4 linked regions of the Lonchura striata genome follow. The protein of the gene in region 4 interacts with the protein of the main gene of each other region in a pairwise test. Links are inferred from orthologs where the notes say so. Each region holds a gene or a part of one and is shown on either strand. Other genes may lie near its edges. The genes, in order: ZCCHC17, LYAR, PTMS and SDCBP2.

Region 1 (7,823 bases), on a different chromosome or scaffold from region 4:
TATTGTTTTATACTGCAGCTACCACCAGTAAAGCTGCAGATGTTAATAAATTATATATTCTAATAAATATAGGAATATATCCTATATATATAATATATATACAGTAATAGATGTATCAAATATATATTACATATTATATATACAATAATATACATTATAATATTATATATTTGGTTATATATTTTATCTATAGTATATACAATTATATACCCTATAATATATATATTATATATGTATCTTTTATATTTTATATATAATAAAATATATTATAACCCATCTACTGTTATATATGTTATATATACCTTCTATATAACATATATAGTAAAATACAATACATATTGTTACTATACTTATTATTACTATTATTACTATTACTATTATTATTTAAGTTCCAGAATTTCCCCAAAACCCACCACAAAATATCCTTAAGTTACAAAAAAGTCCTTTGAGTCATTCTTGGTAATCATTCTACAGTCCATCATCTTCTAAATGCTTCCCAAATTTCTTCCTCATTTAGGAAAAAACTCCTTTTCTGATTTTTTTTCTGGAAGTTTTTAATTGTGAGGCGGCTGCTTGCCCTGGCCACAGCTCCATAAAACAGCTCCAGGGACACCAACCTTGTTTCCTGCAGCCAGGGATTCTGATAAAGGCCCCAAAATCCGTCACTGCAGCAACCTGGGGAGAAAATCAGAGCAGAGCTGCAGGAATCCCTTCCCAAAGGGGGAGAAATCACAGCAGAGCTGCAGGAATCCCTTCCCAAAGGGGGAGAAATCACAGCAGAGCTGCAGGAATCCCTTCCCAAAGAGGGGAGAAATCACAGCAGAGCTGCAGGAATCCCTTCCCAAAGGGGGAGAAATCACAGCAGAGCTGCAGGAATCCCCTCCCAAAGAGGGAAAAATCACAGCAGAGCTGCAGGAATCAATTCCCAAAGAGGGGAGAAATCATAACAGAGCTGCAGGAATCCCTTCCCAAAGGGGGAGAAATCACAGCAGAGCTGCAGGAATCAATTCCCAAAGAGGGGAGAAATCATAACAGAGCTGCAGGAATCAATTCCCAAAGAGGGGAGAAATCACAGCAGAGCTGCAGGAATCCCTTCCCAAAGAGGGAAAAATCACAGCAGAGCTGCAGGAATCCCTTCCCAAAGGGGGAGAAATCACAGCAGAGCTGCAGGAATCCCTTCCCAAAGGGGGAGAAATCACAGCAGAGCTGCAGGAATCCCCTCCCACACAGAGGAGAGTGCCCAGCTCCACGTGTGGAGATGGGCACAGAATCAGCCATGGCTGGGCAGGAGGGACATTAAATCCCACCCAGTGCCACCCCCACTGTCCCAGGTGCTCCAGCCCCAGTGTCCAGCCTGGCCTTGGGCACTGCCAGGGATCCAGGGGCAGCCACAGCTGCTCTGGGAATTCCAGCCCAGCCTCCCAGGGAACAATTCCCAATTCCCAAAATCCCATCCATCCCTGTCATGGTAACAGGCCCCTGGCTGGGCGATAATTAGCATTGATTCCATGATTCAAGAAGGTTGATCAATATCTATCTTTTTTAAGAAACCCCCCCACTTTTATAGACAGTTACAATACAGCTAGACTTAATTGCTCCTCTAATCAAACCACTATCACTACTGGCTAATTAAGAAACCACCCCTTGGTAAATAAATCCCCATAACACATTCTACATGTTCACAACACCAGGTGCAGCAAGTGAAGATAAGAATTGTTTCTCTGCTCTTCTCACAGCCTTGCCCAGCACAATGCCTGGGAATGCCGTGTTTCCCTCTGTGGGCACAGAGCTGCTGCCACACACAGCCCTGCCCTCTGGCAGTGGCACCAGGAAGAGCCCAAACCTTTCCACAAGCCCTGCCAGGCTACAAACCCCCCCTGCATTTTCCAGTGGGGAACAGCACTGGGTGCACCTGGAACCATCCAGGAAATCATTATTTCCTTTCCTTTATCCCTCTGGTGCAATGATTTTTGGTCCTGGTTCTCATCCTTGATTTAGGAATCTGAATCCCAGAGTGGTTTGGGTGGGAGGGAATCTCATCCCAGCCCAGGGACCCCTCCCACTGTCCCAGGTGCTCCCAGTGTCCAGCCTGGCCTTGGGCACTGCCAGGGATCCAGGGGCAGCCACAGCTGCTCTGGGAATTCCAGCCCAGCCCCTCCCACCCTGCCAGGGAACAATTCCCAATTCCCAATCTCCCACCCAGCCCTGCCCTCTGGCAGTGGGAGCCATTCCCTGGCTCCTGTCCCTCCATCCTTGTCCCCAGTCCCTCTCCAGCTCTCCTGGAGCCCCTCCAGGCCCTGCAGGGGCTCTGAGCTCTCCCTGGAGCTTCTCCTCTCCAGGGAGCACCCCCAGCTCTCCAGCCTGGCTCCAGAGGGGCTCCAGCCCTGCAGCAGCTCCGTGGATCCCTCTGGGCTCTCTCCAGCAGCTCCAGGTGCTGCTCCTGTTGGAATTCCGAGCTCTGAGGGTGGGGAACCCAGTGACAGAAGAGGTCGGAACTGCCTCTCCTCGGCTGCCCCCGCAGCTGCACATGAACAGCCCCCGGACACAGGTTGTGCACCTGGACAGAGCTGTGCATCCCCAGAGCTCCCCCGCGCTATCCCGACCGAACCCACGGAATGAATTCCCCCCGAGCTTGGCCCGGGCCGCGCCAGCCGTGCCGCACCTCGCCCTGGAAGATGGAGTAGAGCTCGGGAAGCGGCTCCATCGCCTCCCGAGGCGCCGTGACAGCCAGCTGGATTCACCCTCGCTACCGCATCTCCTCTGCAGGATGCTGAGGAAAGAAAAATTTCATTAACGCCCGAAAAGCCCCAGAGAGCACCCGGGGTTCAGCGCCTTGAGGGGCGCGGGGATTGGACCCGCAGTGCTGCGGTGAAGGACTGACCTGGACCGGCGCAGAGGGACAGGACGGCTCCTCCCGGAGCCCGCGGGGCGGTGGGGGCTCGTCAGCACCCGCGGCAGCAACACCAGCGCGCCGCCATCACCCCCTCACGCTGAGGGGCCACGCTCCTCGCCAATCACAGCGCGCAATGTTGCCGTGGGATGGTCCCGCAGCCAATCAGCGTTACCCATACCACCCAGCGACCGCTTTCCTCCAATCAGAGCGAAGCGCGCCAGAAGGCGCCGCGCTCCCCGCTCCATCCTCGGCGCAGCGTCGGGGGGTGGGACCTGCCCGGCGCTCCGCCAATCAGCGCGGCGGCCGCGGCAGCGACAGCCAATGGGGCGCGGGGGGCGGGGCGCGGCGGCCGCCATGATCGAGCAGCAGAAGCGGAAGGCGCCGGGCCCCGCGCCCGGGCCCGGTCCTGCCGCCCCCCCGGGCCCCACCGGCCCCGCCGCCGCCCCCGCGCCCGGCCCCGACCTCCCGCTCGTCCCCGCGCCCGCCAAGCGGCCCCGCCATGACCTGCCCGGGGCGCCGGGCACGGGCGGCGCGGGGGGACAGCCCGCGGCCGGAGCTCTGCTGCAGGCGGTAACGGGGGAACGTGAGGGGAGGGTGGGAGGAGATCGGGGTGGGACGGGAGGTGAGGGGACAGGAGAGGCCAGGCGTGGTTCCAGGAGCAGGGAAGGGCCACGAGCGTGGTGGGCTGGACACTGCTGAGGCACCTGTGTTAGGTTCTAGGCCCTCGGCTGGGGCCTGTCCGCGGAACGGAGCTGGGAAGGGAACTGAGCCCCAGGAGAGGCTGAGGGGGCTGGGAAGGGGCTGGAGAATCCCTGAGGGAGCTGGGAAGGGGCTCAGCCTGGAGAAAAGGAGGCTCAGGGGGACCTTGTGGCTCTGCACAGCTCCTGACAGGAGGGGACAGCCGGGGGGTCGGGCTCTGCTCCAGGAACAGGGACAGGAGGAGAGGGAACGGCCTCAGGCTGGGCCAGGGCAGGCTCAGGGTGGCAGCAGCAGGAATTTCCCCATGGAAAGGGTGACCCCCCCCTTTCCATGGGGAAATTCCTGCTGCTGCCCACCCTTGGCCTTGGAACTGCCCAGGGAGGTTTGGAGTGCCATCCCTGGAGGTGTCCAAGGAACGTCCTGGATGTGGCACTCAGAGCTCTGGGCTGGGGATAAGCTGGGGACCAGGTTGCCTCAATGACCTTGGAGCTCTTTTCCAGCCTCAGTAATGCTGGAATTCTGGTGGGATGTGCTGTGGGAAGGTGAAGATGCTCGGCAGGGGTGGCAGGCTGGCCTTGCCCCTTGTCCCCTCACGGTGTCTCGGTGTCCCCCAGGGCCCCCCGCGCTGTTCCTCGCTGCAGGCCCCCATCATGCTGCTGTCAGGACACGAGGGGGAGGTTTACTGCTGCAAGTTCCATCCCAATGGCAACACCCTGGCCTCAGCTGGCTTCGACAGGCTCATCTGTGAGTGGCACTGCTGTCCCCTGCTGTCCCCCGGGCTCAGGCCCTGTTGCTGGGGGGTTTTAGCTCAGCCCTCACCTGGCTGGGTTCTGGGTGTGAATTGCTCCCCCATGGGGGTGCAGGAAGCTTTTCCCAGCTGCTCTGGCAGGTGCCATCCTGATGGTGCTGGAAAAGTGCCTTGCTGGGTGCCAGCTGTGACCGCCCTGTGTCCCTGGCACACGGCTTCCAGAGGTCTGCAGAAATGCAGTTTTAATGCTTAGGCTTCCTGAGGCAAAAATTATAATTGTTCATAATAAACTCACCTTAACCAAGCTCCCTAAAGCTGCTCTGCCCTGGGGCTCACACGATGCTTTGTCACTGCTGTGAGTTGTCCCAGCTGGGACTCAGCAGTGGGGCTGGTCCATCCCCACTTTGCTGAATCCCCAAAGATCAGCTCCATGCACAGCAGGGGCTGTTCCCGAGCCTTTCCTGTGCTCACCTGTCCCTTGCTGTCCCCCAGTGCTCTGGAACGTCTACGGGGACTGTGACAACTTTGCCACCCTGAAGGGACACAGCGGGGCTGTCATGGAGCTGCACTACAACACGGATGGCAGGTGAGGGCAGGGGCTCTGTGCTGCTCAGGGACTCACTGCAGCTCAGGGAACAGGGCTGGAGCCCCAGGAGAGGCTGAGGGAGCTGAGAAGGGGCTGGAGCCCCAGGAGGGGCTGAGGGGGCTGGGAAGGGGCTGGAGAATCCCTGAGGGAGCTGGGAAGGGGCTCAGCCTGGAGAAGAGGAGGCTCAGGGGACCTTGTGGCTCTGCACAGCTCCTGCCAGGAGGGGACAGCCGGGGGGTCGGGCTCTGCTCCAGGAACAGGGACAGGAGGAGAGGGAACGGCCTCAGGCTGGGCCAGGGCAGGCTCAGGGTGGCAGCAGCAGGAATTTCCCCATGGAAAGGGGCTCAGGCCTTGGAACTGCCCAGGGGGTTTGGAGTGCCCATCCCTGAGGCGGCAGTCAGAGCTCTGGACTGGGGACAAGGTGGGGACCAGGCACAGCTTGGATTTTATGTTCTTGGAGCTCTTTTCCAACCTAAATGATTCTGGGGTTGTCACCTGTGCTCAGTCCATGGACACCAAGTCCTTGTAGTGTGGGCAAAGGATCTGGGGGCACCTGTGACCCCCCCCAGTGCCATTGATGCAGTTTTGGGGCACAGAGGGAAGTTTGTGTTGGGTGCCCGGGAGTCACTGGGGAGGGAGACAGAGCAAGTGAGATACTGGTTAATTTAAAAGGCTGTTCCACCATTGCTGCTGAGCTTTGCTGAGCTGTGCTCATCCTAGATGCTGCTTGAGGAGGCAGCAAAACCATTCACAGCAGGGATTAAGGGGAGTTTATCCATGCAGCTGTTCCAGTGTCAGTCAGTGTTTCAGGCGCCTCCAAAACACCAACAGGGGAGGTTGTTCCTGAAAGGAACTGGGAAGGGAGCTGGGCCCTCACAGTGGTTGTTCCTGCAGCATGCTCTTCTCAGCATCCACGGACAAAACCGTGGCTGTGTGGGACAGCGAGACGGGCGAGAGGGTCAAGAGGCTCAAGGGCCACACGTCCTTTGTCAACTCCTGCTACCCTGCCCGGAGGGGCCCCCAGCTCGTCTGCACGGGCAGCGACGATGGCACTGTCAAGGTCAGTGTGTGCCCTGGGCAAAGCCTAGGGAAAAAAGGTGGAGAAGCTTTTAGGATCTTCCCCTTTATCTGGGCTGATTTCAGCCTTTTGGTACTCGTTTCGTTAGCGCTCTGAGTTCAGAGGCAAAAATGTGACAGCAAATTTCACTGCTCTGTTTTTTCTGTGTTTCTCAGGGGGTTTGGGAAGCTTGAGCTGCTCAGCTGGGATTTTTCTGCTGCTGTGGCTCTGCACAGCTCCTGCCAGGAGGGGACAGCCAGGGGGTCAGGCTCCGCTCCAGGGAACAGGGACAGGAGGAGAGGGAACGGCCTCAGGCTGGGCCAGGGCAGGCTCAGGGTGGCAGCAGCAGGAATTTCCCCATGGAAAGAGGGCTCAGGCCTTGGAACTGCCCAGGGAGGTTTGGAGTCCCCATCCTTGGAGGTCCAAAGAGTTCTTTCTGGACAGAAAAACAGAAATGACAGTTTCTTTATGGATTAGCAAAGCATGAGAAAACTATTCCTGGAATCTGGGCTGGCCCCTTCTTCCTTGCCTTCATTCCTGTGCTCCAGACACAGCAGATTCAGTGTTTTTTATAAAGATCTCCAGATCTGATGTTTTTCATGAGACCTACAAATGGATTTCAGGAGAACAGGCTGAGTCCCTGCCAATATCTCTGCAGTGATTTTGTTGTGCACACCTCTTATAAGTGCCACTTTTCTTTCCAGCTGTGGGATATCAGGAAAAAAGCTGCTGTCCAGACATTCCAGAACACCTACCAGGTCCTGGCTGTCACCTTCAATGACACCAGTGACCAGATCATCTCTGGAGGCATCGACAATGACATCAAGGTAGGACCCTGTGTCCCTTTCCCCCTGTGCCCACCTTTTCCATCCTGTCACACCCTGTGTTGGTCAAGGACAGCCTTGGGTGCCACCTGCTGAATTTTACATCCCAACCCCCCTGGACCTGCTGTGTCCATCTCTGCTGGTGGTACAGAGCCAATAAAGTGGCATGGAGCTGTGACAGCCTGGCAGGGACAGCCTGGCACTCGGGTGTCCCAGCACTGCTGTCACCCGGGAGCCAGTGTGGAATGCTGGCTGTGCTGGCAGCCTGGGACAGAGCCAGCTGTGAGGTGAGCTGAAGAGAACGTGGTGACACGTCCCCTCTGTGCCCTCTGCCCCAGTCTGCAGCTGCCCCTGGCACCTGATGCTGTGGAAAGTTCTTTTTTAACAGTGAGCTCAGCTGATTGCCCTGGGGGCTGCGGGGCTCTGGCTGTCCCCATGCCCTCAGCCCTGCTCTGGCCTGTCCCCAGCCTGTCACAGCCAGTGCTGTGTGGCACTGCCACCAGGGCTGTCATCAACCTGCCAGAGCTGTCCCCAGCCTGTCACAGCCAGAGCTCAGTGTGGTGCTGCCACCAGGGCTGTCCCCAGCCTGTCACAGCCAGTGCTGTGTGTGGCACTGCCACCAGAGCTGTCCCCAGCCTGTCACAGCCAGAGCTCAGTGTGGCACTGCCACCAGAGCTGTCCCCAGCCTGTCACAGTCAGAGCTCAGTGTGGCACTGCCACCAGAGCTGTCCCCAGCCTGTCACAGCCAGTGCTGTGTGTGGCACTGCCACCAGGGCTGTCCCCAGCCTGTCACAGCCAGTGCTGTGTGTGGCACTGCCACCAGGGCTGTCCCCAGCCTGTCACAGCCAGTGCTGTGTGTGGCACTGCCACCAGGGCTGTCCCCAGCCTGTCACAGCCAGTGCTGTGTGTGGCACTGCCACCAGGGCTGTCCCCAGCCTGTCATAGCCAGAGCTCAGTGTGGCACTGCCACCAGAGCTGCTCCCACTGCCCCTCGTTGGGAAGAACCCCTGGAACTG
Region 2 (7,946 bases), on a different chromosome or scaffold from region 4:
AAGCAACTTTGGTTTTGGAATTAATTATGAAAAATCAGGCTTACTTTTGATGCCACAGCTGACATGCATTTCTTCTGGCAGCAGTGCCAGCTTCAACAAGCATTTATCCTGTATGACAGCTCTGGATATTCCTGTGCTATGGGTGTCAGCATGAGAGAAGAGAGATTAGACCAGGCTCTCATGGCAGCCCCTTGAACAGCACTGCTGCTTGTGGGGGGAAAAAAGCTCTGGGCTTCCCAGGACTTAGAGAGTGCAGCCAGTGGACACTGCAGAGCTTTCCTGTACTTCTGAAGATCTGGTGACTGAAAGGCTTTGTGAATATGTTAAGACTATCAGAAAAAGGTGTCTGGTCATAATCTCTCATCCTTCTACATAAGAATCATTTACTATTGAGGCAGGCTACCAATGCTCACAAGCAACAACACTCATGTCATACTGCCTTTACAAATGTCCTCAAACGTTTGAGTGTTCAATCTCAACAAGAGCACTCATCTCTGACTTTAATGGTATTCATCATATGCTTCAAGTATGCATGCAGCTTAGAACCTTCTTAGAATGTGTTCTACATGATAGAAAGCAACAATTTCCATGCATAAATGTGATCTAACCTACTACTAATGGAGTTTTAAATGAGTTTGAGGTCCTTCCAAAAACCCTTGAATGAAAGCCATAAGAGGGTAGATTCTTGTGTAAGACAGAAAGAGTACGAGATATTTCTATCCATGCTGGAGCTTCTCCTGTTCAACATATTTACAAAACAGCTGACAAATTTACATATTAATTTACATACTTACAAAATATCTGACAAGAGGATGGAAAATGAAAATAACCCAATGATATTGAGCTATTCAGGATGAGGACTATGAGGATTCCAGAAAGATCTTAAGAAAATGAGTGACTAGGTAATAAAAAAGTGAAATACAGTCAACACAACTTCACATAAAGCCAGAAGAAAAGGAAAAGCAATCTTAATTTCAGATCTAAAATGGCAGGCTTTAGTTGACCATTGGAGCTTAGATACAGTATCTCAGGGTCAAAATAGCCAATTCCATGAAAATGCCAGCACAATGACCAGCAGCGGTGTATAAAAACCGAATTAAAAAACCACACAAAAGTAGATTAACTGACAAAAACAGTTAGAAAGGAATAAAGGACACAGAAAACATAATTGTGACACGTGGTAAATCTATGGTTCTCTTATATCTTGAACAGCACTTCACAAACATACAGTACAGTGGGAAGATTTTAGAAGACCAAAGATATAATTTACATATGCAGAACAACTGAGTAGGGCAGGATTTTTGAGCCTTGAACAAAGAATATGAGATGGGGAGGGATGCCTGACAGAGGTCTACAAAAGCATAAATGGCATGAAAAGGAGGGACAACTACCAATGTCTCTTTGTATACAGATGGGAACATTACACTAAGTCAAACTAGTAAGAGACATATTCAAAACAAGACACTTTTCTTAAGAGATAAACACACACCTGTCAAGGAAATGTCAGAAGACAGCCGGGGATATTGATAAAAACAGATCTCTGGCTTGAGCTAGTATAGGCTCTTTTCTGTCTTTGATAATTACAGACAATAGTTACTGTAGGTGCACACAATAAAAAACATACCTGAATCCACTCCTGCTGTTTAGCATCTCCTTTGTTCGTTTTGGCTTCAAAGCCTTTCCCACCATATTTCTGGTCTTCACTTACACACTTCACGTGTTCTTTATAGTCATCACCCCTGAATATAAGAGATTTTTAACCACAGGTCATTGAAATGCTTCACTCTTCAAACTATGCAACACTTAGCCAACCAACAAGATTAAGTAATAGATAATTTAAATTAACAGATCATTTAAACCCTATTACTGTCAACTCTTAAATTATAAAAATGTGATGTGCTTAAAGTAAATGCTTGTAAGACCACAGGCATTTCTGTCATGCTTACAGCTTTCAGTGAAAGTTTCTGACTTGCATCAATTATATTTGTGACAAGAGTGAGGAAGTAAGTCTGTAGAGTGAGCAAAGCTATTTCCCATTCTTTACATACCAGAAATCCTTGCCACAATCCATGCAAGACAGGCACTGACACTTTCTGCAGATGTTCACATGCTTTTCAACCTGTGCTTTCTTCACAGCTTCTCCACACGCATTGCATGTGAAAACTACCATGTTGGCAAGTGGTCAGGAGCCTCTTCCTTCCCACAAAAACGCAACTCTAGGAATACAAGAAGAAGATCTTAATTTATAGCTTGAAAGAAACACTTGGAGGGCCGAAGCGAAACACAGCCGTGCACCCACTGACAGACAGGGTGCGCAGCCCGCTGCTGCACGTGTCAGAGCTCGTTCCACCCGAGTCCCTCCCTGAGCGCAGGGGAGATCAGCACCCCGGGAACCACAATCCCTGCACCCGCCACCCCAACAGGGAACCAGCGACCCCGAACCCATCACCCGAACCAGGAACGGGTAACCCCCGAACCCATCACCCGAGCCAGGAACGGGTAACCCCCGAACCCATCACCCGAGCCAGGAACGGGTAACCCCCGAACCCATCACCCGAGCCAGGAACGGGTAACCCCCGAACCCATCACCCGAACACCTGTAACCCCTGCACCCGCCACCCCAACGGCGGAACCGGTGTCGCCTGTACGGCCCCAGCGCGGATACGTCGCGCAGGGCCGTTCCCGGTCCCCTCCCCTCCCGTGCGGGACCCCGCCGCTCCATCCCGCTCCCCGCAGCTGCAGACCCCTCTCGGCCGTGCCCCGCCGCGCGGCAGCGCTGAGAGGTGGCCGGGCCGCACGGCGTGGGAAGCCCGGCGTGGCCGCCACCCGCGCTCCTGTGCGGCAGCCGGCTGCTGCCGTGCCGAGCCGAGCCGAGCCGAGCCGAGCCGAGCCGAGCCGAGCCGAGCCGAGCCGCCCCCGCTCTCGCTCCCCCGCACCTCAGCGGCCGCCGCCCGCGCGGCACGCGCCGCACCGCCCGCTCCGGCCCCCGCCGCCCGCGCCTGCGCTGCCCCCGCTGCCCCCGCCCCGCGCACCGGAACGGGAACGGGAACGGGAACGGGAACGGGAACGGGAAGGGGAAGGGGAAGGGGAGGGCGCGGCGGCGGAAGCGGCCGCTGGCGGGGATGGAGCTGGGAGGAGGCCGGAGCCGGTAAGCGCAGGGCCGGGCCGGTTGCTGCCCTGGGGCCGCGGCGCGTTTCCCGCTGCCCGGGGCTGCGTCCCCCAGCCCGCACCGGCCGCTCGCCGCGCTGTCCCCGGGCAGAGCGGCCCGCGGCGACCAGACCCTCCCCTGTCCTCTCCCCCGTGCCGCTCCTCCAGCCTGGCCGAGGCGAGCTTAGCTCCGAACAGCGGCTGTGCCGGAGCGGCTGCCGCGGTGCCCGGCCCCTGGATGAGAGACACTTCACTGGCAAAGTGATTGCAGGATGCCGCGGTGGGAAATGTTCACAGGAAAAGCCTGTTAACGTGGTTCCTTTATTTTAAATCCTGGTCAAAGTATGATAAGCATTAATAGAGAAAAAGCACAATGTAGTAACCCCTACCACCCCCCCCTCCCAGTGTAATACAGCCAGAGACAGGGCACATCAGGATAAATTAATGTGGAACCCTTATTGTTCATGAGATTTGAGAATGGGGCAGTCACTATCTGGTCATGCTTAAAAGGTGGTTTTCCTGCTTCATTCCTTAGAATAGGAAGGTTTTTCTCCTAGTTAGAAGACTAGAAATTCAGATTGTCCTAATAGTTGGAACTGTCATGTTTACAAGCGCACAGGGGAAGTGTTGCATCGTTGTTGGAGGGGGTGGGGAAAAGGAAGTATAGAATTCAATGTAAATGTGTTGTGTTGGAATGTGACTTGTCTATTCAACCTCTAAAGAGGGGACTTTTTCATTTAGATTTTACATTGTATTAAGAACAATACCATGTTAATGTGTCTAATTAATCAGATACATTGTAGAAATGTATGTAGCTAGAACAGCAACAAATGCCTGAAATAATACTAGTTTTCCCTTTTGAGTTTAAAGGATGAAGAAACTGAGGCTTTCCTCTACAAATGCTACTGATTTTGTACATGCAATGTGTTTTTGCATTAGACTCTTAATTATTGTGGAAGTTGTCTAAATTGAGGTGCATTTTTTTGTGGTTATGGAGTTCAGTTTATTGGCAGCACCATTAGATTTTTGCAGATGCTCTGTTATAAACAAATCTCTCTTAAAAATCACTGTTTCATATGTGTATTGCTGTGTATCTGTTGGTGAACAATATTGTGACTCATCTTTAACCAGAAAAATGTTATTAGCGATCAAATTGGAGGTGTAAACTGAAGTCTGCTTCCTTTGAAAGCTAAAGCAAATTGTAAAAATGTTCTTAATGTTTTAAATTAATTTTGCAATTTAATATTCACCTTAGCATTTTATCTCATTATAGGTAATTTAATGATTTTCTAGCATGGACACTGTTGCTAGCCACAGCTGTCATCTTCTGCAGCAGCTACATGAACAGCGCATTCAGGGGCTTCTCTGTGACTGCATGCTGGTGGTGAAGGGTGTCTGCTTCAAAGCACACAAAAATGTGTTAGCTGCTTTCAGTCAATATTTCAGGTATGTGAAAGAAAATTCTTCTCTTTAAAAAGTTAACTAAATGCTGTTGGCTGAGGTTTCTCTGAGAAGGGTATTTTTTTCTGTTGGTTGCAGACTGAGGAACTGTTGGGAGTATAAGGAGAAAAGGGAGATTGCTTGTCCAGAGAAAAAGCTGTGTCCAGTATTCACAGCATGCTCTTTGATTTTGACATTTTCTTGAATTACTTGCTTATAGTCCTTCATGTAATAATTCTGGCATGGACCTGTTTTCAGTATTTCACTAGAAAAAGATAACTGCTTACAAGGAACTTAGTAGAGTATATGAACAGAACCAGATAAGAAGAATAACTGATAAAACCCATTTCCAAGTAATAGGACTTGTTTCATCAATCATATGCTAAATAAAATGTGACCATATAGGTTATTAGTGAATCTCTGCTTATTCAGATTCTCAGAGACAATAGCTGTGTTTTAAAGTATACAGGTGGCCCATTACACCACATCATGCTTTCTTACTCTTCTGTACTGCCCTCAATTGTGCCTCCAAGTTTTGGAGGATGCTGGATCTCCCAGCTTAGTATTTTATATTAGTTATGAGTAAGCTGTTAGATCTGGCAGTTTTTAGACCTAGTCTTTTGAAACATCTCTAAAACTTCACTGCTAATTTAATTGCAAGAAACCTATTTTTATGTTATGACCAGGGAAAAAAGATAAGAGGTTCCTTTTTCTCCTCTAGTGCTGTACCGCTGATGAAGTGCAATTATGTTCAAAGACCAAATTTTTAAAGTAGTTAAAAAGAACTAACAGCTCAACTCGTATTAAAATTCAATAGGATATGAGTGCCTAATTAATTTAGACTCTCAGCCCAGATCTGTTCATTATAGTTCCAGTTTTAATTTTGATAGGATGGTATAGATTTATGAAGGAATTTGGATGTGGGCACTGGCTTCACAGTATTCCCTGCATTTCTAAAGTTTCAGCATAGGCTCACATTTTCTTAAGATTCAGAGCTCATTGATATCATGCCTTCCTTTAAACAAACCCAAATTTGAGATTTAGCCCACAAAAAGGAATCATTAAGTTTGGGATTTTAATGGTATAAAGTTTATGACTGAGAGAGAGTATGAACCCACTTAATCTAGGACTGCTTGTGCATGTGAAGAACCGCATCTCTGATGCTGAGAATATTTAACATCAAATACTAAGAACTTTTGTGAGTTCATTCATTATAAGGATTCAGTGAAGTTCAGTGGGTATTGGTTGCACTGCTGTTTTAGGATTATGTACCTGTACTCTTCATTATTCTTTTACTTGGTTCTCATCCAGTACCAGAAAAAAAAGTATATTTTATATGAGAAAATAAATTGAAAATAATACCATCTTCTTGTTTAATATTGCCATTTTCTTGTGTGTTTGTGCAGAAATAACTAATGCTAAGAACTTTGATAGGCTTACTGATGGAGTTCAATGGACCAGTTCAGTTGCCAGAGGAGAAGAGTTTAGCTGACTTTGAGGTCTATCTTCTCCCTTTTGCTAGAAAATTTATGTCCTGTTTGATCTGTCATGATGAAAGGAGAAAAACCATTCTGAGTCAATCGGTTCTGCAAATTGTCCATAAATACAACACTGCATCTAATATGTGAAGAACAGTGGATAAGAAACCACAAGCGTAGGGTGTTATTTGAAAACATAAATACAGGATTAAAGTTAGATAAAAGATAATTTACTTTGATTTATATTTCAAGTGCACTAATGCAGGACTAATATATAAAACAAGTAATTGAGCAGTTTTGAGAAATTCATCATCAAAAAGACAGCAATCTTTAGAAGAGTACAAACTTGTTTCATACTAGTAGCCTATTTGAGTTGTATGTATGTTTTTCTTATTGAAGTGTTTGTGAATTATTTGTGTTTGTATTTGAATATTTGCCTTATTTTATCAGGACCCTTTTCCAGAATTCTTCAGGCCAGAAGAATGATGTGTTTCACTTGGACATCAAAAATGTAGGTGGCATAGGCCAGATCCTGGACTTCATGTACACCTCCCACCTGGATCTCAGTCAGGACAATGTACAAGCTATGCTGGACATTGCACAGTGCCTCCAAGTGCAAAATGTGCTGAACATTTGCCACACCTTTTTAAAGTCTTCCACAGCTGTGGAACAGGCAGCCAGCATGCCGTGTAGCAGTGTATTTTCACTGCAGAACACTTTGGGGACGGATACCAGCTGTGCCAGTGACAGCTATGGGACAAACCTACTGCCTGAGTGCTCAGCTGACAGACAAACTAACAAAGTCTTGGCTGAGCAGCACTCTCAGTCTGTTAATCTGCACACCCCGTCAGGTGATGGACAGAAAGCACCACAAGATTCCTTAGATGGCAACTGCACAGAGCTCCCATTTAAACAACCAAATTACTACTATAAACTACGCAACTTTTACAGCAAACAGTTCTATAAACAAAACGCTTGCTCTGATCACGAGAGAGGAGCAGAACCATCCTTTTCTTACAGCACATCCACAGAAATAAACACAGTGGAGAATAATTCTTGCACTGTCAATCACTCTGAGTGTATCCTGGAAACCTCTGAGCATTTACCATCAAACTTCCTGGTTCAGTCTGCAAGTGAAGCTGCTCCAGACCAAAACGCAGAGAGCGCAGTTATGCAGCCCACCAGACAGATGCGGCTGAAAAAGGCAGTACACCTCAAAAAGTTAAATTTTCTAAGATCTCAGAAATCAGCAGAGCAGCCCCCTGAGCCCCAAAGAGATGACAGTAGAATAACAGAAGTAATTGAACCTGTAAATGAAAGTACTACGGACACAACAGATGTTAGAGTTACTGATGAAAAAGAAGCTGAAGATTTGGTGAATTCAGAGAATTTTGAACAAACTGTTGAAGTGGAAAGATCTCAAGGTCCTTTGGAACAAGAAGGACAATCACAGACTCTTCAGTCACAGAAACAATATACTTGTGAATTATGTGGGAAGGCTTTCAAACATCCAAGCAATTTGGAGCTACATAAAAGGTCTCATACAGGTACAGTTATCAGTTACTTGGTCTGCAGAACAAATATTTCAGTTATAGAGAATATCTTGCAGTGTCTCTTGATTTAGAGATGCTGGTTAAAAGGCTGTGGTTTGTTTTGTTGGTGGTTGGTTTGGTTTTTTTTTTATGGATAATCCTACAGAAATAAAGAATTGTAATACCAAGTTTTAAAAGAAAGTTGTAGAAAAGATTGTATTTTTCATCTCAAATACATTTCCTATGTATTTGGAGTTCTGGGTACTTTCTCAAAGAACATCATGTGATTTTGATGAAAATGAAATTTCAATGAAAATTTTGGTTTTGTCCTGCATTTAGATGAGTCATT
Region 3 (7,445 bases), on a different chromosome or scaffold from region 4:
TTTGAGAGCATTTCTAATCTTTCCTCATCTGAGATTGTGTGAAGCCAGAGGCTAACGGGCAGTGCAAGCACAGGCTGGAATGGAGGAGGAGAGATGGGCGGAACAGGGGAGATGGGAGGGGAGGATTCAAGCTGAAGAGCCGTTTTCTGTCTTCTGTCTCTTTGGATCCACTTCATCCTGCATCAGCCATGGGGAGGAAAGAGTTACCATCAGTCACCACCCCGAGGTACATAATTCTCCACAAAACTCGTGTAACTGCTGCTCTTTCCTCCATATGGAAACCTCTGTTAGGCCCACCCTAAATCCACTCCCCTCTAAAACACCCTGGAGTGCCTGACACAGCTGTTCTGTTGGTTGTGGTAAAGATGTGGACAGTTCCATTCAGAGGGACACCACACCCATGGCTGTTACTTCCAGGAGGTGTAAGAAGCTGAGGCTCACACCACTCCACACAGACCTCAGGGCCTGCCCTTAATGTGGAAGATCAGACCCTTCAATCACCGCACCCTTACAACTCTATCTCCTGGCCTGAAGCCCAGAAGACACAGGTAGTTCAGAGGTCACTGCCAAGCACAACCTCCAGCACCTCGACTGCTGGTGGAAGGCCCTAGATCCTACAAGGAGCATACAGTGATTTACTATCCCCTTGCCACATCAGATTTGTTTACCCGTCTGCTCCTGAAGCAATGAGACCAGAGGCCAATTTGAGATTCTCAGCAGCAGCATCCACATGATTGGATCAACAAACAGCAAGTAGCCTCATTCCTTCACCCCACCATTATTCTCACACTACTACTCACCTCCTCCTCCTCTGCAGATCGTTTCTCTGCGTGGCCATCCTGCTCCTGCCCATTCTCATCTGCTTCTAAGCACATGCAAGAAAGGAAAATCACAGGATAAACTGAAGCAGCATTCAGGGAATATAATCTCACAGTCAAGAGGGCTCACAGAGGGAATTTCCCTCCACAATCCTCTATTCCTCTGCAGCCTCCTATTCATCTAATTTCCCCTACCTTCATCCTCATCACCACCTTCTTCTTCATCTACATCATCAGGATTCTCTTCATCATCCTCATCAGCTCCATTTTCCTCATCCTGGATAAAACAAATCGGTCAGAGCAGAAACTGATGCCAGGATAACATTTCCACGTGCTCTTTGCTACAAGCACAACAAATTTCAGAGCTCCAGCCACTCCAGGTGTGCATTGTTACTCCGACATCATTATTCCTGCCACTGTGGATGTACACTTCTCCCAACCAGCCTTCCTTCACGAAGCCAATCCTTCCAGTCCATCCCCAGCAACACGCAGCTCGTCTCCCACGAGCTTACATCCTGAGGAGCTGCTGCCATCCCTCCCAACAACCAAAGCATCTCTGATTACAGGCTAATGACAGCCGAGGCTCATGGTACATCTGTTTCGAGATCCCCATCAATCTGTGTGTGTTTCCTCACAGTTCCTCCCCCCAGCTTCTCCAACACATGCTCCTTGTGCACCTCAGGGTACCCCAGTGGGCGCAGGACCACATCTCCCGTGCCACATTCTCCCACTTGTTCCTGGCTCCGTTTGACCTTTTTTTCCTCCCTGATGGGCTGTGCTGACTACACTAAGTCCTTCAAGGCTCATTCTCCACAATTATCCAAGAGCTTACTCTACCTCTAGGCTGGTGCTCCCTTTCTTAATCTCCCATATTCCCTTCACATTTGCTACCCACAGTACGAAAACCTCCCCGACGTCGCCAAATCTGTCCCTCAGAAGAGCCTCACCTCTACTATCTCCTTCTTCTTTTCTTTGTGGATGGCTTTCTCTTCGACCTTTTCCTTCTTTTCTTTCCTTTCCTATATATGAAATGAGGTGCGGGGGGGAGAAAACCAACAACATTCCGGCGGTCAGCGGCAATAAAAGATGGGGATGCCTAAACAAAGACGGCTCGGAGGAGAGGCGGAATAGCGGGCGAGGAGACATATTAGGCGTTAAATCCGCCCGCCCGACAAAGGAAAACAGCAGCGAACGCGCGTCACAGCTACTTTTAGCCCGCGCACACGCGTGTGGAAAACAGAAGCGGCACGGAAGAGTTTGAACGATTTATTAAAAAAAAAAAAAAAAAAGAGGGCGACATCGTCCGTAGGATCGAGGCGTTTCCGGACCTCTCTCTCCTCTCCATTCCACCCCTCCCTCCTCCTTCCCCCGCCATCCCAGGGCCCGCGCTTTGTGCCCACAACTTTCCCCCCCACCACCACCACCCCCCGCCCGGCTCCGAGCGGGGCCGAGCGGAGCCGAAGCGGGGCCGAGCGGAGCCGAAGCGGGGCCGAAGCGGGGCCGAAGCGGGGCCGAGCGGAGCCGAAGCCAGCGCGCGCCGCTCGCGCCGCCCGGCCAATGGGGGGGCGGGGGCGGGGCGGGGGGCGCGAGGGCCCTCGCGCCCCCCGCCCCGCCCCCGCCCCCCCATTGGCCGGGCGGCGCGCGCGCGCGCGCCCCCCGCCGCCGGGGCACCTCACTGAGCCCCCCCCCCCCCGTTCCCGGGAACGCGGCCGGTTCCGAAGATGGGAAGAGGGGAGCGGGGTGATGGTGGTGGTGGGGGGTAGGAGGTGTCTCACCTTAGCGCTCAGCTCCGCCGGTGCCTCCTCAACGCGTTTTTCCGACATCCTGGCCCCCCGGGGTTGCGAAGGGGAGAGGCCGGTGGGAAGCGTGCGGGGGAGGGAGGGAGGGAGCGAGAAGGGGGTCAGCGGCGGGAGCGCAAAGTCCCAGCGGTCCGCAGGCGGCGGCAGGATCCCGCCCCGGGGGCCAAAGTACCAGGGTCTCCCGCGGTGGGGGGATCCGCCGGGGCAGGGGATTTATACAGCGCCGGTGACGAGGGAAGGAGGGACCTGGGGAGGGAGGAGAGAGGGACGGGAGGCGGAGGAGGGAGGGGAGAGGGACGGGCTGCTAGAACAATGTGCGCTCAGCCGCGGCCGCCCGGCAGCGGGGGCGCACCGCGGGTTCCCCGCAAGACGCCGCACGGCCCCGTCGAGGATAGCCGAAAGCCCCGCTCCGCGCCCAGGTGCCGCGGCTCCGACGGGAAGCGTCCGGCGAGGGCAGCCGAGCCCTCCGGCCGCAGCACGCCCGGGGAGCCGCCCGTACGAGCTGGCTGGCTCTCCAGGAGGAATCCGGGGGAGGCGAGAAGCGGCGCTGCGGGGCCGTGTGGGAGGGCAGCGCTGGCGACACGCGGCCTCCTGCCTGGAATTTTCCACTCCAGCTGCCCGCCCTTCCTCCCGCTGGAAGCGCTCCCAGCGGCGGGGCTCCTCCCGCCCCTCCCCTTCTTCTCCCCCCGCCTGCCCGCCCGGCGCTGGCCGCTTTTCCCGCGCTCTGCGCGCGGCGGAGGGAGTGGGCGGGGCAGGCGGCGCGGGAGCGGATTAGCGCTCGCCTACCCCGCTCCCCATATAAGGAGGGGCTGGGGCTGGGGCGCCTGATTGGGCCATTCAAATGAGCTCTCTGCCTGGCAACAGGTTTCCCATTGGCTGGCGGCGGCCGGCGCGCCGGCGGGGCGGGGGCGCGGGGCCCTTTGGTGCAGTGCGAGGCGGGAGGGGCGCTGGCACGTGGGGCGGCGGGACGGCGCGCGAGGGCGCGGGCGTTGTCCCGCCGGGCTCGGCTCCCACCCGCCCGGGACCCACATCCCGGCACACGGTGTGCGACACCGATCCCTGCTGCCCACCCGCCCGGGACCCACATCCCGGCACACGGTGTGCGACACCGATCCCTGCTGCCCACCCGCCCGGGACCCACATCCCGGCACACGGTGTGCGACACCGATCCCTGCTGCCCACCCGCCCGGGACCCACATCCCGGCACACGGTGTGCGACACCGATCCCTGCTGCCCACCCGCCCGGGACCCACATCCCGGCCACCGGCCGGGCAGCACATGGTGTGCGACACCGTTCCCTGCCTCCCGCCTCAGGCCTGACTGTGGCAGACATCCTGCCAGTGCCTCCTTCCGGGCTGGGAAGGATCATCGCTCAGCACCGGGTATCCCTGTAGCCAAAGGTCCTGCAGAACCGCAGGTGGTGACTTGCAACTGCAGGGATTTGTTGCTAATAAAAGAGATGTTCCTGCAGCCGCTCTTCAGTCCTTTGGTTACCAGGTTGAGCAGACTGGGATGACTAAATTGCCTTCACCTTTCCCACAAGGTTTATATTGTCCCGCTCTTAGTCACAGGCTCGTACAAAAGAAAAAAGAAAATAAATCCGCATGCATTTGCGGGCCTACGTACATACAGAACTACGCGTGCACATGAGCGCATACAGAGGTACACGTGTACGCAGTCATTCTCACAGGTACAAGGCAAGGTTATTAATCCGTCTGGTTGGAAAATGTATTGAGGTACGCAAGCCCTTCTTGTCCTTCAGATACAAACTCAGCCTCCCTGCAAAGTCAGGATTTAGAGCGGGTGCTCTTGAGTTTAATTGAATGTGTCTCAGTTCGAGCATTTAACAGCAAAAGCCATTCGTATTTGTGGAACATAGGGCCCTGAGTATGTATCTCCTGAAGGAAAGTAGGAAAGATATTGGATAAATTATAATCTGTGTGACAGGGAGGTAGAAGCTACCCAGCTTGTTGTCTCGTCTCCTCCACAGCTACAGCTGCTTCTCTCATGATCTGACTAATTGACGTTCTTCACAGCTATACACAGTGCAGAGTGCCTGCTCCAAAAAACAGTCCTGTAACTCACATGCACACATCTAGACTAGTACCAAAATAAACCAAATTATGAAAATGCGTGCACTAATTTTTTTCCCCTACTGTTTCACAAAACCGATCTGGCCAATTTCTCAGGTCTAGCTGCTATCAGCATTCCAGCCCTGGTTTGGTACAAGTACTCCTCTTTCATCCTTCCCTTTCACAAGAAGAAAATCTTAATTTCTAGATATACACCTAAAACAGGACCCAAAGTAATCTATATAGGGGCCGGATGGTGTTCCTCTCTGCTTTCTGCTTGACAGAAGGTGCGTGGCTCATTGCTCTGCTGTTCTCCTCACCAACCCAGAATTTATTTTCCAGGATCCTCTTCCTTTACACACTCAACCACTGAAAACACATAATTACATTGACACATATCCCTTGGCAAAGACATCTTCACATTAATGCACAAACAGGCCTTGACACAACATCCTAGAGGGGAGAAAGCAAAGGATTACGTTCAGGGATGTTCCCGTGCCCAAAGCTCCATGTTCACACAGGCTGCGAACCCACAGATGCAAATTGACAAACACCTGTTTGTGCAAGGGGAGCTTGTTTCCAGCTACCTGTGGGATGGCGCTGTTGGGTCAGCATGGGTCAACTACAAACTGGCATGGCAGCAGCAAGCTCTCCTTTCCTCCCCAGCACCTGCAGTGTGCAACTTCACATTGTCACTTCCATGCTCCCCACCCCATCCCCTTTGCAATTTTTCCCTCATCTGCTGCTTCTTGGCATTTGTCTCCTACCTGTGTTCTTGGCAGCACTCTCCCCATGGCCCTCTCCCCGGCTTCTCTTTGTGACATCCTGTATCTTACATGCAAAATTCATTTCACATCCCCTCCTTTGTTTTTCATGTCCCATTTTGCCCTGCATTATTGTATCAACTATGCTTTTCCCCTTAAATCCAACATTAAATTCTTCTTCATTCCTTGTCATCTGCCTGTTTCTGCATTCTGACTCTTCTTGCCCTTTGGATCCTGGTAGTGAGATTTGCTGGGCTTCTAGTGTGCAGCTGCCTCCCTCAAGCCCTGAGGATATCCACTGACTGTCTCACCTAGCTCTTCCCTGTGACTTCTGCTCCTCCACCTGATCTGTGCCACTCTGCATTTCGCCTGCCAGATTGATCTGCAGCTTTTCTCTGCTCCTCTCTCCCATCTGTGCCTTCCCCTCTGCTGCAAATGCAAGTACACTCATTGTGAGCTCTGCAGATGTCAGTCTCTGCTCAGTGCGTTCCGTAGTCTTTGTCTGTAGTTGCTTTGCCAACTCAGCAGAACATATTCCATCCTTTTTGGAGACTTATGTCCTTAGACAAAATGAGGGAGGTGCAGAAGTTACATGACAGATCATTGTGTGGAACAGACACTCTCCGTGTCTGCCTGCAGCCCAGACAACAATGGGAATGTAATTTTCTCCGTGCAGTGTCACAATTTTGGTACTGTACCCTGTTTGTGCTTGGTGTTTATGTAGGTGTGCGCATGTGTTTAGGTGCAGTACATACCTGGTTGTGTACAGAGGGGATATTTTCCCCCTGTTACATTCTTTTACTTTTGTGAGTGTAGAAAGTATGGTACTTTTCTACTGAGGTGTGCCTTGAGCTTGCAGGCATTTGCCAACATACGTGAGCACGTGGTTGAGATGTGTTAGGGCTTTCATGCGTGGTATCTATTTTTCTTCTCCCAGCAAATGTGGGGTGAATGCACCTAGAAGCAATTATTTATGCATTTTGGTCTATTACCTTGCTAGTCATGCCACTATGTTCTGATGGGGGCAGAGGGGATGGTGACTTTTGTGTTTATTTTGAAGGCTGAACTAACTGCGAGCCATTTTCTGAGCAAAAGCAAAACACAAAAACTGGGTATTTTAAGAATTATATTTACTGAGCTAACTCCTAAGTGGTTCCAAACTGTTTGCTGAATAACAAAAGAGCAGAAGGATGTGTATTTGCATTAAATTTTCTTAGATTTACATAAATGCAGAATATCTGTCCTTTCACGTACAGCAAAAGTAGCAAAATCTCAGTGTGCAGAGGGAATCTGCTTGAATGCATTTATGTATTTAAGTCACGCTGTTCATCTTTCTGTACTGTGTCCACTAAAAATCCCAGCAGATAATCCGCTTTGTTCTTCTTCCGCTATGCCATATAGTGAAGTTAAGAGGAAAGACCCAAGAATTCAACCACCGGCCAACTTTGCATTGGGAAATGGCTTCCTGAGAGGCAGCATATTTAAATAAGCCCTGCAGGAGGGCTGGGAAGCAGGGTAGGTAAAACAAGGAGAAGAAGCAAGAGGAGTAGAAGGGAATGACAAGGGGTGACACAGCCTGTCAGAAGACTGGAAAGAGGAGGGATGTTTTCAATCGTGATTTTTTTGTGAGCCTGTCTTTGCTAACGCAGCACAGATGGGAGGTCGTGGTTCTCACTCACAGTGTGACAGACACACTCTTAACACGAGCAAAATATTCTGAAAGTAATCGCTGCCACGCAACGCAAGCTGCAGCCACCACAAGCTGGCTGTAGCATCCCGAATATGATTTTTCCCATTTGAGGATCAAATCAGAGCTGTCCTTCACTCGGGGTGCCCTTCATCTGAGGTCAGAGTCAGTTGTTGGGTGAGGATTACGTAAGAGGCACAGATGAAGGGAACCAATGAGGAAATGGCTGTGGGTAGCTCTGACTTCTGGTAACGAGGTTTTCTTTGTCTTCCAGACGTCCACGGGGCTCCTCTGCGGCGTTCGGG
Region 4 (7,388 bases):
CGCGCCGCACTCCCACCCCACGAATGTCTGTGGTTTCTTCGTGACTTGAACTAACAGTGTTTCCCCCAACCCCAACCCAAGCCCACTCCCCCACCTGTGGGTGCCACCAGCCAGTTGCCCTGGCATGGTGATGCTCCACACGCCGATGTCCAGTGGTCCCCAGAGGGGCACGTGCGACATCCTGTGTGCCCCACAGTTCCCTGCATCCCCCTTCTGCTGGCTCTGCCTGTGCTGGGGGGCAGTGGGGACAGCAGCTCTGCCACCAGCACAGCACCAGGTGCCAGGGAATGGATGTGGGGAGCAGCAGTGTCCAGGCAGCCGGGGCAGATGTAAGCGGAGCTGGGATATTCGCCTCTTGTGCAATGTATTTGTGGATCTGTGTACACGTCTGTTAGGCTATCCAAAGCTTTGCCAAGTAATAAATGTAACAACTATATTTGAAAGACAAATCTATATAATATATTTTTTAAATACAGAACTGAAAAAGCTGTAACCCCCCTCTTCTTGTTTCCCCTGTCCTGTACTTGCTCTCTGTGGTGGATGTAATAAATGTCGCTGGGTCTGTGTCTGCTTCGGCTGGAGCCAGCCCTTGGCATCCGCCCTGAGGGGGGTGGCCTAAGCAGGGACACGGGGACAGTGGGATGCTGGTACAGGACATCTGCCCCATCCTTGCTGAGGAGAGGAGGAACCACCCAGCAGCCACCAGACTCTGATGGGATAAGGGGTTTTGTGCTAAAACAGCTCCTTTGGAGGTGCTGTGGGGTCCTCTCAGCAGGCCCTCTGGGCTTCCAGCATCAGCTCCCAGAACAGCAGCGATGGTGTCACAGGTCAGGGATGGAGTGGTCCATGGACGACTTCACCAGTCCTGATGAGAGCCTGATCAGAGAGAAGGGAGGTCAGTGGGGGGAACTCAGGGGTCCCCTTGGGGTGTGGGGGTCCTTGCAGCCCCACATTCTCACCGTTTGACCATGTGCTCGTAGATCACAGTGGGGATGATGGTCAGTGTCACCACATTCCCAGCCCCTGCCAGCACCTCCGTGAGCTGCTTATCCTGCAGGAGAAAGAAGGGACTCCATGGGGTGCCCAGCTTTGCTCAGTATCCCCCTCCCTCCTGGATTCTCTGGCCGCATCCTGGACTCCCCAGGCATGTCCTGCACCACCAGGGCACAGCCCTACCTTCATGCCGATGACGTTCTGGCCGTTCACCTCGCAGATGCAGTGGTGGGTGAGGAGCCCGTTGCGGGCGGCCGAGCTGTCCTTGGCCAGGGACACAATCTTCCCCTTCTTCACCACGATGCCAATGTGGCCGGTGCTGTCCTTGTGCACGGTCACGGTGCGCTGGAAAGGCCTGTGGGGAGAGCACCCTCAGTGCTGCCACCGGCACTGCCACCAGCACGGTGCCACCACCCGCTCACCTGTCCCGCACCACCATGACGATTTTTTCGGGGTTTGCCTTCTTCAGCGCGCGCTGTGCCTTGTCACTGCTCCAGCCCGCGCAGTTCTTGCCGTCAATCTGCAGCACCTGGTCCCCGAAGCGCAGCCCCACCAGCGCTGCTGGCGAGTTGGCCTTCACCAGCTGCACGAAGATGCCCTGGGGACACAGCAGAATGGTGGCACAGGGATCAGTGGCCATGCCGTGCACCAGGGTATGCCATGCCATGCCATCTGCACCCTGCTGTATGCCGTGACATTTAATGCCACACGCTGCCGTGCCATGACACGCTGCTATGGCACGCTGTGCTCTACTGTCATGCTTGTGCCATGTCACATCATGCCATGACACGGTCCCGTGCCATGCCAGCCCCATGCCATCCCGGCCCCTCACCTGGTCCACGTTCTTCAGCTGCAGCCCCGTCTTGCCCCGCTCGTCCTTGCAGAGGTGGATCTCCCGCACCCCCGGCTTGATCTCTGCCCGCCGCAGCCCCGCGCTGTTCCCGCTCAGGGGGGCGACCAGCTGGCCTGGGGAGGGCCCGACGGGGGTCAGTGCCTGCGGGGGAGCTGGGGGTCAGTGGGGACAGGGGGGACACAGGGCCCGGTGCACCTCAGCCCTTGGGAGTGCTGCATGCCTCTCTCAGGCAGGATGAGGAGCCAGAGGGATCCCCGTTATGGCACGGGGAGCCACATGGGGCAGGGAGCTGCCAGCCCAGACACCTACGGTGCTGTCCTCGGTGCGCAGGTTCTTCTGGATCTCCTCGCTGGAGAGCGCCAGCCCCATGTAGTTCTCCAGCTCGGCTAGGTTGGGGTACAGCACAGGAGGCTCTGAGGGACGTACCAAGGGTGGTCTCAGCTCCCGGGGCCCACAACCCACAGCCATTGCCCCCTCCATCCCAGGAGCCCCCTGGGACCATGGCCCAGTAAAAAGAGACCCCAGAATCCCATCCCCAACCCATGCACTGAGTTGTGGGGGGGTCTCAGCTGAGCCACTCGCCCCTTCCCCAAATTGAGCATCATTGCCGACCCAGACAGCCCCTACACAGCGTGAGCTGATCATGTCCCTCCTTACCAGTGCCTGAGGTGAGCTTTGGCTTCTCTGTGACCACTGTGGTGGCAGGGGTCCTCACCCCGGCTGCTGCCTGCGCCTGCCAAGAGACAGGGTGCTCAGTGCTGTGCCCCCCACCCTGGGGACCCTCTGGTGAGACCCCACAGGGACCCATTGGGGTCTGCTCACCCCCTGTCACACTGCTGAATTGGCACTGACCTGCAGGACCTGGTGGCCCTTCATGTCCTCCAGGGAGGGGTAGAGTGTTGCCATCGTTGCTGCTGTCTGGGGACAGGGACAGGGAGGTTCAAGGACTGAGTTGCCTCTCTCCAAGCATCCCTCCCAGCCCGTGTACCGGAGATGGGCTGTCACCTGGAGTTTCCAGTGTGACTCAAGGCTATGTCACCAGGGTCACCACCACCGCCACTTCCTGGTGGCTGGGACATGGATGGCTGTGTGCCGGGCAGCTCCTGCTCCCCATATCCACCTGCCCCACAGAGCATTCCCAACACCACCCAGACAGGGGAGTGGGATATCCCATGGGAATGGCCCCTTGCCCCTCATCAGACCCCTCTGCTCCCCATGGCCAGTGGGGCCGTTCCAGCATTACCCAGACACAGCAGGGAGATGTCCCATGGGAACAGCCCTTGTACACACCAGCAGCCCCCTCTGCACCTCATGCTGTGCCCAAGGCTGTGCCCCCCAAACCCACTCTGTGGCATCTTGTGCCCCAAAAAGCATAATCCAAAACTCCTTGTGTAGGGACCAAATCCAGACCCAGCTCTGAGCCCTGCGGGAACCAGGCAGGATCCCACCTGCAGCCCACGGGTAGCAGCAGCATCCAACAGACAAGAGCCCCCAAGTCCAGCCCTGGCACCCCTGGACTCACCTGCCAGCAGCTCCCAGATCCTTGTGACACCCTCTGCCTGGCCCCTGGGTTTTATAGCCAGGCCCAGCCCAGGGTGGGGCCAGACAGCCTCAGCTGATTGCACCCCCGCCAGGTAGGGCACAGGTGAGGAAGAGGAAGATGAAGGCAACAATGCACAGAGCCCTGGCACGGCAGGGATGGGACAGAGACTGGAATGGGGACTGGGATGGCTTTCTGTAGCTTTGGGCATCCTGTGGGAGCAGGGATGGGACTGTACCCCTACATGGTGCCCCCCCCAATTGCATCACCTCTCCTGCCACCCCCAGCAGGTGGCTTGGCCCCTGACTGGGCTCCCCCTCCCCATTATCCTTCCTGGGCTCCACAGGCCCTGCTGGGGGGTGAAGGGGGTTCCCCACCGTGATCCCCTGCGTGGGTGGTGGCTCCTGCTGACACCTCGCTGCCCTGGCGCGTGGGGCTGACGCGGCCGTGACCGGGATCCCGTGTCCCACACCCTCCCAGCCGTCACCTGGGACACGTGCCAGGCGTGGGAGTCCCATGCTGCAGGTGGAGAAACTGAGCCGGCACCGAGCTCAGCATGGGGTGGCCGTGGCATCCTGCTGCCATGGGCCATCACCGTGTCACCTGGGGATCCAGCCCTGCAGCAGCCAGCGGTGACATTCTGCTGTCAGCACCGTGTCCCCAGGGGCTGGGCAGGGGGGTGCTGAGGGCACTTGGGCAGGCCTGGACCTGGTGGCACCAGCCCACATCTCCCCGGCACGGGGCCAGTCCCAGTGCGGAGCCGCAGCCAGGCCTGTCCCAGCTCCCTGTGCCTCCGCTCCGGCGTGCCAGGCCAGGAGGAAGTGTTTTATTTACTGCTGTTATTTTTAGCTGGATGGTGCCCAGCTGCCTTGACCAGCCCAGGACAAGAACAGCCTGAATGCCAACGGCAGAGAGAGTCCTACAGAGGAGATTGTTTCCTGGAGCCTGTTCATTTCCTGAAACCCTCATCCCCACAAAACCACGGCTGTAAGGACTCCCACCCCACCTGCACTCATGGATGCTTCAGGAGCTGTGCAGGGGCTGAGGGCCCAAGGGCAGGGGGCGTCCCTCAGCCTCCCCCCTGCCCTGGCTTAGCCCCAGCCAGAAGCCATCGCTGTCTGGCACTGGTTAATAATTAAAGCAAAAAGCTTTGCAGGAAGAGAAATGCAAACTGGCCTCAAGCTTCCACCCAGAAACAGCCACAGCAAAGGACAGAGCAGGGTGCTGGTGCCCCACAAGCTCCTGTCCTGCTTAGCTGAGCCACAATTCAAGGCAGTTCTAATTCCTGCACGGCCCTGTGCAAGTACCAATGGCTGAGCTGCTCCTGCCCCAGGGCACTGCTCCCTCCAGGACCCATTACACACAAACTTTGCTTGGCAGCTGGGACAGGCTGGTATTGATCATGGCTGTGTTATCAGTTGTGGCACACTGATCAAAGGTTGTCAGCAGAGGAGCCAGGCACTGGCCCATGGTGGTGCCTGAGCACATCCTACACACACAACACCCACAGCTGCAGCAGCAAAGCCCAAAGCAGGTGATGTGCTGTGCCCCACATGCCATGTCCAGCTTTCAAAAAGGACTGAAATAAATCCAGAAAGGTGCAAGGAAAGGCTTCCCTGAAGCTGCAAGGACCATGGGAACATGCATCCATGTATCCTTCATGCTTCCAGTCCAGGCTGAGTCACAGCCACAAGGGCATGAGGTTGTGAGGGCAACACTTAACAGGTTATGGTGAGGCAATGAATTATGCAAATACCAGCAGGCCACCATCACCTGTCCACAGAGCACAGGAGCCCCAGGCATCTTAATGTGCTCCCAGGGCCGAGCACCTGAGCCTCACACTAAGGCACAGCAGAACAACCCTGGCACTGCACCCAAAGCACCCCACAAGCCCAGAGCAGCACCCACAGCACCCCACACAGCACCCCCTGAGCCCAGCCCAGCCCCTGCTGTGCTGAGCGACAGACGGGCGAGGGAAGAACCTCCAGGACACAGGGCTGAGAAAAGCCAGCATCAAGCGTTTTTATTGCGATAATAAACTGGATACCTTTGTGCGGCGGAGAAGGAAGTGACCGGCGGGAATTTCTGTTACCAACGGACTGGGCAGGGCAGAGGGAGGGGCACAGGGGACAGCTATGCGTCCTGGGACACCAGGCAAGCAGCGATGACCAGCATCAGGTGGCAGGAGAGAATGGGCAGGTGTGCTCAGAGCAGGGACAATAGGGAGCTGATGGTTCCTTTCCACGGGGGAGGAGGAGGACAGAGTTTTTGTTGAGTTGAGCCCCCACCACCTCCCCTGCAGACAGCACCTTCCCTTTGTCCAGTTTTCCTTTTTCTTTAAAGAAAGCTCCATGCTATGGGATTTTCAGGGTGTGGCGGAGCTCTGGTGGAAACCCAACTCCCTAAATCCAAAAGTGGTCTGGAGGGGAAGGCAGGCCCACCATGAGATGGCAGGGTGAAGCAGGGGCAGAGCAGCCCTCCTTTCCCAGAGCAAACCCACAATACCCGCAGTGATGCTCCCTGGGGAGCAGGGAAAGGCCAGGCTCCCTCGCTGTCCCACTCCAGGCAAAATTCCTATAAACAATCCTAGTGCTACCTTGCTCTCTGCATCCCTTCAGCCTCGACAACCTCACTCTCCTATGGCTTTTGCAGCAGCAGCAATTTCTGGTTTGGAAACACCATACATCTGCACCAAAACTAGTAACTAACAGGATTCCTTTTCTTCAAATGACTCCTATCTAAGGTCAGCCCATCTGCGTGCTACTGGGAAAACGTAGTCTACACCTGGAACAAAAATAAGATTAAGAACTTGACCCAAAAAGAGTTGAGGTTTACGGTGTATAGTTTAAAAAGACATAAAAACACGATACAAGGAGGAAGAGTCAGACGCAAAGCTTAGTGACCAAAGGCATTCAATCAAGGTGTAAGGTTATACAATGAGTGTAGTGGACTATCAGGAAAAGCTCCGTACAAAGTCATGTGCACTCTTCTTGAAGCTGAGATTCTGGATTCCTCCATGTGCCAAACCTGTGTGGACAGAGGAGAGGCAGTGTGAGCTGGACAAAGACAAGCTGCCCAGGCACAATAGCCTCCACACAAACCACACAAGGTCCTCAGAGCAGCAGTCAAGCCTTGATTGCAGGGGGAGCACAGCCCCACTCTGCCCACACCATGGGGACCCCACACCCCAGAGCAGAGCCCCACAGAATCCCAGAATGGGCTAGGTTGGAAGGGACCTTAAAGACCCATCTTGTTTCAGCCTCCTGGCACAGGTAGGCACACTGTCCACTAGTCTAGCTGCTTCAAGCCCCATCCAACCTGGCTTTGGACACTTCCAGGGATGGGACAGCCTGTGCCAGGGCCCGTCCAGTCTCACAGGGAAGAATTTCTCCCTAATACTAATCTAACCTTGCCCTCTGTCACTGTGAAGCTGTTCTGCCTTGCCCTGTCACTTCAGGCCCTTGTGTGAAGTCCATCTCCAGGACTTCTTGGAGCTCCTTTAGGAGCCCCTTTATGCTCTGAAAGGTGCTCCAAGGTTTTCCCAGAGCCTTCTCTTCTCTAGGCTGAGCAACTCCAGCTCTCAGGCTGTCTCCACACCGTAAGTGCTCCAACCCTTGGGTCATAGTCACTGCCTCCTGCCCACACCATCAGCCCCTTGCTGGGACAGCATGAGTCAGGAGGGGGTGTGGCAACCGAGCCCCCTTGGCGCAGCAACAACACTCAGAACCCACGGCACAAAGAACTGGCACTGCAACACCTCCATGACATCAACCTGCTCTGCCAGGCTGGGAACTTTGCATGTAGCACTGTAGTGAGCAGAACCCCAGCTCACCAGATTCCCAAGAACAACTTTTACCCACAGAGATCTGCCCTGTTTTTCTCATATTCCCCATTACTGCCCACTCCCCCCTTGCCTCCATCCCACCTCACCACACAGTCCCAAGGTATACAGGGGCCCTGAGCTGTCCTCAGTCCCTGACAGAAATTGCTCCTCCTTACCCG

What was found.
Region 1: the proteins of SDCBP2 (region 4) and ZCCHC17 interact in binary tests that used the Homo sapiens proteins (3 or more experiments, as listed by UniProt). The two-hybrid records come from large-scale screens. The link is inferred for Lonchura striata from reciprocal best matches to the Homo sapiens genes SDCBP2 and ZCCHC17.
Region 2: the proteins of SDCBP2 (region 4) and LYAR interact in binary tests that used the Homo sapiens proteins (3 or more experiments, as listed by UniProt). The two-hybrid records come from large-scale screens. The link is inferred for Lonchura striata from reciprocal best matches to the Homo sapiens genes SDCBP2 and LYAR.
Region 3: the proteins of SDCBP2 (region 4) and PTMS interact in a two-hybrid assay, tested with the Homo sapiens proteins (2 studies listed by BioGRID and IntAct). The two-hybrid records come from large-scale screens. The link is inferred for Lonchura striata from reciprocal best matches to the Homo sapiens genes SDCBP2 and PTMS.

The regions. Positions count from the first base shown.
Region 1 is NC_134628.1:6,740,168-6,747,990, forward strand, and holds the start of ZCCHC17 (zinc finger CCHC domain-containing protein 17), read right to left. Parts: upstream 3,005-7,823; 5' UTR 2,882-3,004; intron 2,771-2,881; 5' UTR 2,705-2,770; coding exon 2,663-2,704; intron 676-2,662; coding exon 618-675; intron 1-617. Other genes in the region: SNRNP40 (U5 small nuclear ribonucleoprotein 40 kDa protein), read left to right, coding at 3,248-3,463, 4,207-4,336, 4,833-4,926, 5,821-5,986, 6,688-6,810.
Region 2 is NC_134606.1:13,227,543-13,235,488, reverse strand, and holds the start of LYAR (cell growth-regulating nucleolar protein), read right to left. Parts: upstream 3,006-7,946; 5' UTR 2,937-3,005; intron 2,217-2,936; 5' UTR 2,171-2,216; coding exon 2,049-2,170; intron 1,740-2,048; coding exon 1,625-1,739; intron 1-1,624. Other genes in the region: ZBTB49 (zinc finger and BTB domain-containing protein 49), read left to right, coding at 4,442-4,593, 6,516-7,612. UniProt on the Homo sapiens protein: Plays a role in the maintenance of the appropriate processing of 47S/45S pre-rRNA to 32S/30S pre-rRNAs and their subsequent processing to produce 18S and 28S rRNAs. Also acts at the level of transcription regulation.
Region 3 is NC_134604.1:29,639,268-29,646,712, reverse strand, and holds PTMS (parathymosin), read right to left. Parts: upstream 3,008-7,445; 5' UTR 2,642-3,007; coding exon 2,594-2,641; intron 1,838-2,593; coding exon 1,766-1,837; intron 1,096-1,765; coding exon 1,014-1,095; intron 866-1,013; coding exon 801-865; intron 178-800; coding exon 127-177; 3' UTR 19-126; downstream 1-18.
Region 4 is NC_134619.1:7,351,855-7,359,242, reverse strand, and holds SDCBP2 (syntenin-2), read right to left. Parts: upstream 3,005-7,388; 5' UTR 2,753-3,004; coding exon 2,699-2,752; intron 2,580-2,698; coding exon 2,455-2,579; intron 2,283-2,454; coding exon 2,156-2,282; intron 1,988-2,155; coding exon 1,826-1,987; intron 1,592-1,825; coding exon 1,416-1,591; intron 1,349-1,415; coding exon 1,177-1,348; intron 1,052-1,176; coding exon 960-1,051; intron 877-959; coding exon 822-876; 3' UTR 437-821; downstream 1-436.